Linked DNA regions of Caenorhabditis elegans. The protein of the gene in region 1 purifies or fractionates together with the protein of each later gene. This does not show direct contact. Each region holds a gene or a part of one and is shown on either strand. Other genes may lie near its edges. The genes, in order: R151.8 and metl-1.

Evidence for each region.
Region 2: the proteins of R151.8 (region 1) and metl-1 fractionate together in Caenorhabditis elegans (co-fractionation; one large-scale study listed by BioGRID). This does not show direct contact.

The regions. Positions count from the first base shown.
Region 1 is NC_003281.10:7,226,305-7,231,945, forward strand, and holds R151.8 (Myb-like domain-containing protein), read right to left. Parts: upstream 3,484-5,641; 5' UTR 3,482-3,483; coding exon 3,167-3,481; intron 3,120-3,166; coding exon 2,990-3,119; intron 2,942-2,989; coding exon 2,815-2,941; intron 2,765-2,814; coding exon 2,688-2,764; intron 2,639-2,687; coding exon 2,255-2,638; intron 2,210-2,254; coding exon 2,088-2,209; intron 2,037-2,087; coding exon 1,870-2,036; intron 1,600-1,869; coding exon 1,065-1,599; intron 1,015-1,064; coding exon 914-1,014; intron 867-913; coding exon 665-866; 3' UTR 503-664; downstream 1-502. Other genes in the region: hsp-75 (Histidine kinase/HSP90-like ATPase domain-containing protein), read right to left, coding at 203-403; R151.10 (uncharacterized protein), read right to left, coding at 3,880-4,448, 4,495-4,627; Double-stranded RNA-specific adenosine deaminase adr-2, read right to left, coding at 4,869-5,042, 5,116-5,445, 5,490-5,641.
Region 2 is NC_003280.10:11,471,318-11,475,384, reverse strand, and holds metl-1 (tRNA (guanine-N(7)-)-methyltransferase), read left to right. Parts: upstream 1-1,809; 5' UTR 1,810-1,822; coding exon 1,823-1,914; intron 1,915-1,965; coding exon 1,966-2,028; intron 2,029-2,077; coding exon 2,078-2,472; intron 2,473-2,905; coding exon 2,906-3,126; 3' UTR 3,127-3,250; downstream 3,251-4,067. Other genes in the region: ngat-1 (Beta-1,4-N-acetylgalactosaminyltransferase), read right to left, coding at 119-528, 578-869, 928-1,110, 1,168-1,289; slc-25A37 (Mitoferrin), read left to right, coding at 3,374-3,427, 3,616-4,067. UniProt on the Caenorhabditis elegans protein: Catalyzes the formation of N(7)-methylguanine at position 46 (m7G46) in tRNA.

The DNA.
Region 1 (5,641 bases):
AAACTTTGTTAAAGACAAAAAGGTGTGCGCCTTTAAAGAGTACTGTAATTTGAAATGTTCGTTTTTGCAGAATTTTTATCGCTTTTTTGAAGTTTTCGCACGATTTGTCAAAGTTCATGTCGAGACCGGGTACCGTACTTTTGACGCAAAATTCAAAAAATTTTGTGTCTGGGCTATATTGAACTTTTTAAAAAATATTTACCTCGCTGTGTGAATACAAGGATTTTGCGACAATGTCCATAAGATTCCGTGTCTCTGCTTGGAATTCATGTCTCTGTGGTTCAGAAGCCATCCATCTCCGTTGTGTTGGTACAGAAGGGGTGAAATGTGAAGCGGTGATGGGAGCTACGTATCTCATTGTTCGCATGATCCTGCCAGTTAACATCCGTACCGGGAGCGACATCTAATAAAATGATTTTTGGATCTGGAAAGGCAATAGGATGGAGATAATGATATTTGGAAAACAAACCAGTTCATAAAACAACTCTTGGCAGATATAAAACAGTATAAAAAAATTTTATGAAGCAAGAATCGAAATATTAAGGAATGCAAAAAGTAAAAACCTGAAATTCAATGGAAAATTGAGTGTAGTACAGAAAATGAATAATATGGAATATTTAAGAAAATACAATTCGTGAGATTCAATATCAGAAAGCAAAAAAAACTATTTTTTCTTCTTGGGCGTGGTCTTCTTCTTCTGAAAGTGCGATAGAATGTAATCCTGACTATCTTGCGATGAAGAAATCATATCGTGATATTTTTCGTGAACTTCATTAACTGAGAAATGCAGAGCCGGATTAGAAATTGTAGTCAGATCTCCGTGATTCGTAATATTCTGGTACATCATGTCGGTGAAGTCAATTGTTCTAAAAATCAGTTGTATTATTTGTTATCAAATTATTTCTTTACTTACGTGTTATTTCCTCCAGGAGTTTCCAAATGAGATGCATGTCGTGTCGATCCAGGTGACATTGATAGATCTCCACCGAAATATTGTTGCATAATGCTGTCTTTCTGAAAAATTAGAAGATTTTTTTACAATTCGATATTGTCTCATTGCATACCTTCGGAGTTGGATCTGGTGTACGTAGAGATGATAAAAATGCATCATTTCTTTTTCTTTGCAATTCAGGATCTGCACTTCGTTTTGTTGGAGAGAACACGACAGATGAGAAATCAGTTGGTCCTTGAGTACTTGTACTTGGTGAGTCAGAAGTTGCAGTGAGTTCTGATATTTTATGAGCATTTGATAGAAGTAGAGATTTCTTTTCCGAATATGTAGAGGTTCTTCTCGGAATTATTGTAGTTTTTGGTGCTGCGAACACTTGTTTCACCATAAGATCCTGAATCGCAGGAGCGGAACTTGACTCTCCGGGTGGCGGACGAATCAGTAGTTGAGGAGTAACTGTTGCAAGTACTGGATTCGTTGGTTTTCGTTTTGCTGGAGCAGTCTTCTTTCGAGTTGTCTTTTTAAGAAATGCGAGTTGACATGCAAAGTCTTCAGTTTCTTGTCGAACGATGTCGCTCACTGGATTGCCAGGAACATCCGAAGTAGTATCATCACATTTTTTCTTTTTCGAAGCTGACGAACTTGGTTCTCTGTAATGATATTTGGAACAACAGCTTTTTGGAACATCGAAAAATTTCGTTTTTTCGATATTTAGAAAAATATCTTAAATTTTTGTCATTTTTTTAGCAGCTATGTTTTTCATCAACATGATCAAAATTTGATGAAAAATTTAATTTTATTGTTAATTTACTAAATATTTTTTGATCTCTCGATGTTCCCAAAAATGTTAATTTTTTAATGACACTCTTGACTCGGATTGAAAATTGAAAATACTCGGATCGGAGGAAAAAGCGACTCACGAATCTGCCGTTGGTTTGTCTCTTTTTCTGGTCTTACTCGGCGCCAAACAATCTCCGTATCCTCTATTTAATAGATTAATCATTACTTTCCAGGGTTCAGATGCTTGAATAGGTTGGTTCTCGTTATGAACTTGATATCTTAATTGGATTGGATTTTTACGGCCACACTGAAAAATAGAACAAATAAAACTGATAATAAGAGTGTTAAATTAACTTACAACACAAAAAAGTTCCGCCACAATTGCATTTCGAACATTTTTAGAATTTATTCCTTCCGCAATAATTTCATCGGTTAACGTGAAAGGTCTTGGATAAGTTACAGTATGAGATGGTTTTGTTTCTGAAAAAACAATAAATGTTTTTGTCAACTGAATCATTAACTAACTGATATTAACATCCGTCGCCACTTTTATTCCAGTTACTTCTATTTTCTTAGCTTCCAGCTTCTCCTTACTCTCTTCTACATTCTTAATCAATTTGTTCATAGACAACGAGATGAACGGTGAATTTTCGGCCGATTGAACGCATAAACTCGCTATTTCACAAGAACTATCCGGCCATAAAGTGACTGAAATAGGGGTAGAATCTCCTGCCAATGACCATTTTTTGTGCAAAAACTCGAGAAGTTTTGTGATTCGATCGTTTGCATTGAGTTTAACACGAAGAAATGGATTCTGATTACGTTGTCTCATGAAAACATGGTCTCCATTGCTTGTTGGCTCGAGGTGAATGTAGAGATCATTTGGAACTTTATCACCTTTTTTGACGCCTTAAAACAATAATCTAAATAAAAACTAATTTCCAATCCATAAACTCACTGAAGTATCTGCAAAGTGCTGGGCAAGGTGGTGTTTTAATCGTTACCAATTTCCTACCAGCTCTGACGACAACAGTTCTGCAAACTTTTAGTAATAATTTTTCAAGTTCAAATTTTTTAAAACCAACCCTTCGAACACTAACTCCTTCAACTTCTCTACAATAACCTTCATATTAACAGTTTTACGCTTATATTCGCACGCGTTGATGAGAAGAAACAGTTCTCGAGCATCTCGTGGAATATTTGCAAAATCATCTGAATTTAACAAACATGTGAGATCAGATTAAAATATATTCTTATTACCATCTGTCATTGCCAATAATGATTTATATGCTTTTGCCGAATTGAAGAAGAACGTCTTCACGTGATCTTTGGTCTTTTCCATTTTTCGCTTCGCCATGAACTTTACAACACTGTCAAAATCTTTCCCGTGCTGAAACAATAATATAATCACAGAGATTGTTAATATATATGACTCACAAGCTTGATTCCATCATGAAAAGCGCAAACTTCATCAAAAGACCAAGCTCTTCTTTTTGGAAGATCTAGCGATTTTTGGTCAGAAAGTACAGAAGTGCACGTGGGTTCCGAACTTGACGGGTTCAATATTTCTCCATTTGTTGTAGTGTTGTCAGTTGATGTTTGAGGTTCTTTGTCTAGCCCGGACGTCAATGAAGTCGATGTAATCGGTGCAGGTGATTGAAGCGGTCTTTCCCTCAATACGGGAGGCCGCCCAAAGGCGATGCGTCGTCGAGAAGAACTGGCAGATGACGTTGATGGCTCATCTGATTGCATTTCTGAAACAAAAAATGAAGAAAATATAATCGAGAATTCTTTTCAAAATTAGCGGTTACCACCAGAGCGCATTTGTACACAGTTAAATTATGTCCAAATTCAAGATAGATTAAGGAACATAGCATAGCAACATATGCACAATACAGTTTGGATTGATGTAGAAAAATTTGAAAATCAGTTATAATATATTTGCCTTAACTTTGAAAGTCAAATAAGATAATAATTAGTGCCTCAAACACTATCGATCGATGAAAGAGTCAATGTGAAATAAACTGTTGCAAAAATATATTCAAAAAAAAACAACTAGAAATATAAAATGGTTATGTGAATATCACAAAGTACGATCGAATACAGATAGAAGTAAACCATCAGTTTTTTGAAAGAAAAATATGATATATTTAATATGGGGGCAATCCGAAGTCCTCTGGCTTAAACTGTTCCAAACTATTCAAAATCACAGTCACACGATTTTTGAATTCTGGGTCTGAATCGGGGTCGAAAATCGATCGTTCTGGAACCATCACACATTGCATTCCAGCATCGAGTGCCGACAAGACACCATTGTACGAATCTTCAAATACAAGAACTTTGTCCGCCGATTCTGGAACTTGTGGGAATCGTTTCATAGTCACCAAAAATGGATCTGGGTGTGGTTTTCCGTGTTTCACTTCAGGATCATCTCCCGATAAAACTTGCAACTTGATCATGTTCACCCAATCTTTGTGGTTATCCAATTTCGTTGGAAATGTGCGACTACACGATCCAGTACACAATGCAACTGGAACTCCGGTATGAAGAAGGTGACGAACCAGTTTCTCAGCTCCAGGCATCGCAGGACTCCTTTTGAACATTTCGATGAGAAGTTCATCGTATTGACGTGAATACTCTTCCGGTGTCACAAGATCGCCGATTTTCAGTTCGTTGATTAGCCATCGGATCGATTCATCATGGCGTTTTCCCATTTGCCCTGAAATTTATATTAAAATAAAAATATTTCTGATATTTCTTCTCACTTCTCTTCAAATCCATTGTGAAAACGTGTCCATATTTTCTCAAAAGCTCCATATTCGCTTCCGTGTATGCAGATTCTGTGTCGACGAGAAGACCGTCAAAATCGAAAATCACATGGGTCACTGATGCAGGCATCTGGAAATTTCTATAAAAACATATTTATTCCAGTTTTCGTTTCCTTAAATAATATTCAACTCCGAGATAAGTAACTCGAATCACTGAAAATTGTAAGTCCAAAAAATAAAAGATTAACAATTAATTAATGCAGAAATTAAGAGTTAACAGCTAAAATGGAATGAATACACGATGCTGCATGAGATTTTTAAAAGTGGAACCACATTGAACTTTTGATACAATAAAGGTAAAATTGCATTGATTAATTTATAGTAAACATTTGAAATTCTCGTGGCTTTCGTTGCCAAATTCCGAGATCCTTCTGTCGCAGCCAGGTAATGAACGACTTTTTTGCAGCAGCGTATTCTTGAGATCCAGCTTTGAGTTCTTCGTATGAGATTGGATAATCCACAGAAGTCTTTGTCAACGTGCAGATCTGAAATAGAAGGAATTGTTGAGTTTCACACTCAAAACATCAAGAAAATTATTTTTATTTTCCCCCAGCTTACAGTAATCATCAGTTCTGCCATATTTTTTTTACACAATCTGGATGGAGTCGTGATGTCAGCCCCGCTCATATCCTTATCATGAACCATTCCATCCGATGTTCGTACAACTTCTGTATTTCCATCAGCCAAGTTCCAATTCATCGAACTAATCGTGGATCGTGCTGCTGCAGAAGTTGATTGCTCAGTATCTTCCACTTGACACTCTCCGATTTCCACGTCTTGAACATGGAATGGAGCTGGAGGTTTGAAGGTGGCTGCTCTGCTGTAAACTGCTTTACGGAGACGATCTGCATTGTTCAACTCGGCAACGGCGATTGACGAGTAATAGATCTGAAAATCAAGATCTCATGTTATACTAATCAGGTTAAACTAACTGGATCGATGAAATGTGATAATATTGCTCCTTGGACACCCAGTACATTTGCTCGAAGCAATTTATCAGAGCAAGACATTGTCCTCATTCGTTCTCCCATCATGATTCCATCAAATGTTTGTGGAGCTTCAAACTCAGAAGCACCACCGAGCA
Region 2 (4,067 bases), on another chromosome or scaffold:
CAAAACAATTTTTTAGTACTTTCTCCAATGTTTTAGCTGAAATTAATAGTTTTAAGATAAATTTAAATCAAGTGATTTTTTATATTTTGACACTAGAAAATGCCTGATAAAAACCTACATCAACTTCGGCGCAGTCCGTTTCCTCTTCACATGCTTCAACATAGAATATCTCCCTGTTTCAGGATTTGGTCGTTCAATTGTGTAATTTAATGAAAGTATTCTCTGTCCCATATCATCGTCTTCACCTCCCCACGCCCAGAATTGATTTGAATATCCATTAACTGCACGATAATCTGCCATTGATACTGCTAAAACGCCTCCGACAATCTCCTTGTACCACAATTGATATCCCAGATTACTGACAAAAGCTCCAAGATGACGTGGACCAGGTGGGCACGAATACGGGTTCCGATCGTCTTGTGGGAACATGTCGACGTCGTGGAAGACTACACAATCGACTCCAAGGCTTTCTGCGAAGATAAATGCAGCATTCATAATTCGGCCTTTGTTGAACAAGTCGTTTCCATACTGAAAATTTAATATTTTTATTTAAGCATTGCTTTAAAAAAATTCTTACTTGTTCAGTAACAATGAATCGAAAATCTAGCCGCTGTCGTTGAAGTATTGGAATCAAAAAGTCGATCAATCGAGTCAAGTGAGTTTGCCTTTCTCGATATGGAATTATCACTGCGATTTTATCGCGAGCCTGACAATCATCCGGTTTCCATGAGCCACCTGGGCCAAGTTCTGGATGAATTGCGTGTACTTCTCCTTCTTGAAGATTTTGAATCAAAAGTGTGGCTTGTGGAAGAGCGCCTTGAAGATCTGGTATTTTCTCAACTATTGGACAAGATCCGTCCTCTTCGGCGCTGAAAAAATAAAAAAAACGTTTAGTTTAGATTCACAATAATCACTGAAAAAACTTACATTTTAACCGGTGGCTTTGGTTTTGTGACGGCTTCTTCCATATTTAAAAATGTTAGCGTCTGTCGAGCAATTTCCAATTCAACAGGATCCTTTATATCGTGTGTTCTTTCAGCGACTCCGCTGTTTTTTGATTGCTGTACATTGACATTGACAGATCGAACTTGCTCTTCAGTCGCTGCTATCCTGGAGACTATTTAATATTTAGTATCTCACATTTATAAAAATATATCAAAAACAAACCTTCTTTCATCATTTAATGTAGAATTTCTGAGTAGCATTACATAGATTAGTGTGGAGGCGGCAACGAAAATGATAAGTCGTTTCGGAGAAAAACTACGTATTATGCAGTGTGAGGTCCTCATTTTAAGTAGCTTTTACCGATAAATCAATGCATTTGAATTCTGAAAATTGGAAATTACTTTTTGAGGGGATCAGAAAAGAAATCCGGCTGTAAATAGAGTAAATAGGTGTTGAGGGGAAAGTTATGTGACAGAATAAGAGAAAAAGAACGAATGCGTGGCTGTGAGAAGTATATTCAGAACAACTGCAGTGGTTGTCCGGTCTTTTTTGTTGTAAGTGAAGCAACGGGAATTGTTGTGAAGAAGGCGAGAGACAATGCGAAACCTAGGAGACGCCGAGAACTCCCCAACACGAAAGTTGCGCACGAAAATTGATTGCTGGCGCAAATCGAGTTACGCTTGGCGCACTTCACGATCTTCTCATTTTTTTATTTTAATTTTTTTCCTTTTATAACTTTAAAGTTAACTTTCAGTAAATATAACTTTTAAATTATTAAAATTTAACTTTTTAAAATTAAATTGCGCATTTTTCAACTACCTCAATGTATAATTTACGTAAATATTTACATAATTTACTCGTGATTTTCAGCAAAAACATGGACATAACTCCTGCGCTGACAGAAATGGAATTGGATCACAAACCTACTTGCGAGACAGTTCCAGGGTTGCCTCAAAAGAAGCATTATCGGTTAGTTTCTGAGAAAACTAAAGTTTAATATTTAATAAAAAAGGATTTCAGGCAGCGAGCTCACTCGAATCCTCATTCTGATCATGACATTGAATATCCACTGACTCCAAACCAGTGAGTAAAATTAAAGTGTTACCTTTTGTTAAATTTTGACAATTTTTAGTATGGATTGGACCAAATATTACGGCGATTACACAAAAGGACGTCAAGTGGATTTTGCAGACATCGGATGTGGTTATGGAGGTCTTTTGATGAGATTGTCACCTAAATATCCTGATAATCTGATGATCGGTATGGAAATTCGTGTGAAAGTGTCGGATTACGTAAACGAAAAAATCCAAGCACTTCGAAAGCATCACGCTGAAGCTGGTCACTACAGAAATGTAGCCGTTCTCCGATCAAATGCCATGAAATACATGCCAAATTATTTCCACAAAGGACAACTTTCCAAGATGTTCTTCCTTTTCCCAGATCCACATTTCAAGAATAAGAAGCACAAATGGCGGATCATCACTCCAACACTGCTCTCCGAATACGCTTATGTGCTTCGTGAAGGAGGTATGAGAGTGACCTTGATCGTACCAGTGATCACAAGTGCAGATAATGGAATAGGAATAGTTTCAATGATAAGAATAGCGTATCAACGGTTGAAAATGTGTCTTTGTGTCCCTAATTCTCGCCATCAAACAATATTTATCATCTAACCGCGTGGCCGTATGCTGCTGCGAGACATTTCATCACCGAACATTTTTCTTGACTTTCGATAGATCTCAGAAAACTTTCCAATCTCTGAAGCTTTAATTGTTTCAAATTTGCACGTAGGCTTCTATCTTCAATTCCCTGCCCAATAAAATTAACAATCCGTTCCATGTGTGCCACGTGAGAACTATAGCTAAGTAGAAACCTGTTCCTTTCTCTGTAGCTCTGCGCACCTACAAGTGCATTTTCCCGCTGTGCCTATTGATCTTTGTTATAACTTTTATTTTTTCAGGTATTATCTACACAATCACTGATGTCAAGGATCTACACGAATGGATGGTCAAGCATCTCAGCGAGCATCCACTTTTCGAACGGCTGACTGAAGAAGAAATGAAAAAAGATCCGATTGTGGAAATGCTCTTTGAAAGTACTGAAGAAGGACAAAAAGTGACTCGAAATGACGGAGGAAAGTGGCCAGCAATCTTCAGGCGACTTCCGAACCCGGCCTTATAATCCCCTCTGCCTACTTCCAACATTCATCAATTTTTCACGAGACTCTCCCTCCTCCTCCGAGGTTGTTATTTAACTATTTTGTTGATTTTGTGTTTTTGTCTGTTAAATGAAATCCAATTCTTCTAATAGTCTGATTTTTTGAACTTATTTCCATCGAGTTTTCAAACTCTACTTATATATCTATTAAATTTAATCAATTATTAAATTTTTAAATCGCATTTTCAGCAGATACTCAGTACTGGGCAAAATGGGTGGCGGTGGCGAAGATGAGTACGAATCACTTCCAACACACAGCGTCCCGGTAAGAATTTTAATTAATTAAAAGAGATTGACAAAATTGAAGATTTCGGCAAAAATTAACCGTTTTCTTCAAAAAATACGTGTTTTTTTTTGAGAAGTTCCATTACGAATTCGGCGCATTTTTATTAATTAAAATTTTTTTATTAAATTAATTTTCAATTAGTGTTTCCCATTCTATCACAATCTAAGATTCAGGTGCACTTGACAGCTGGAGCCCTGGCCGGAGCCGTTGAGCATTGTGTCATGTTTCCATTCGATTCGGTCAAAACGAGAATGCAATCACTTTGTCCGTGCCCTGAAACGAAATGTCCAACTCCTGTACATTCACTGATGAGCATTGTTAAACGAGAAGGATGGCTTCGACCGCTACGTGGAGTTAATGCAGTTGCTGCAGGCTCAATGCCAGCTCACGCTCTATACTTCACAGTTTACGAGAAAATGAAGGGATATTTGACGGGAAACTCCGCGGGACACAGCAATACGTTAGCATATGGAGCTTCTGGAGTTGTTGCAACACTTATCCATGACGCTATCATGAATCCAGCAGAAGTAGTGAAGCAAAGAATGCAAATGGCTTTCTCTCCATACGGATCATCGTTGGAATGTGCTCGATGTGTTTATAATCGGGAAGGTGTGGCGGC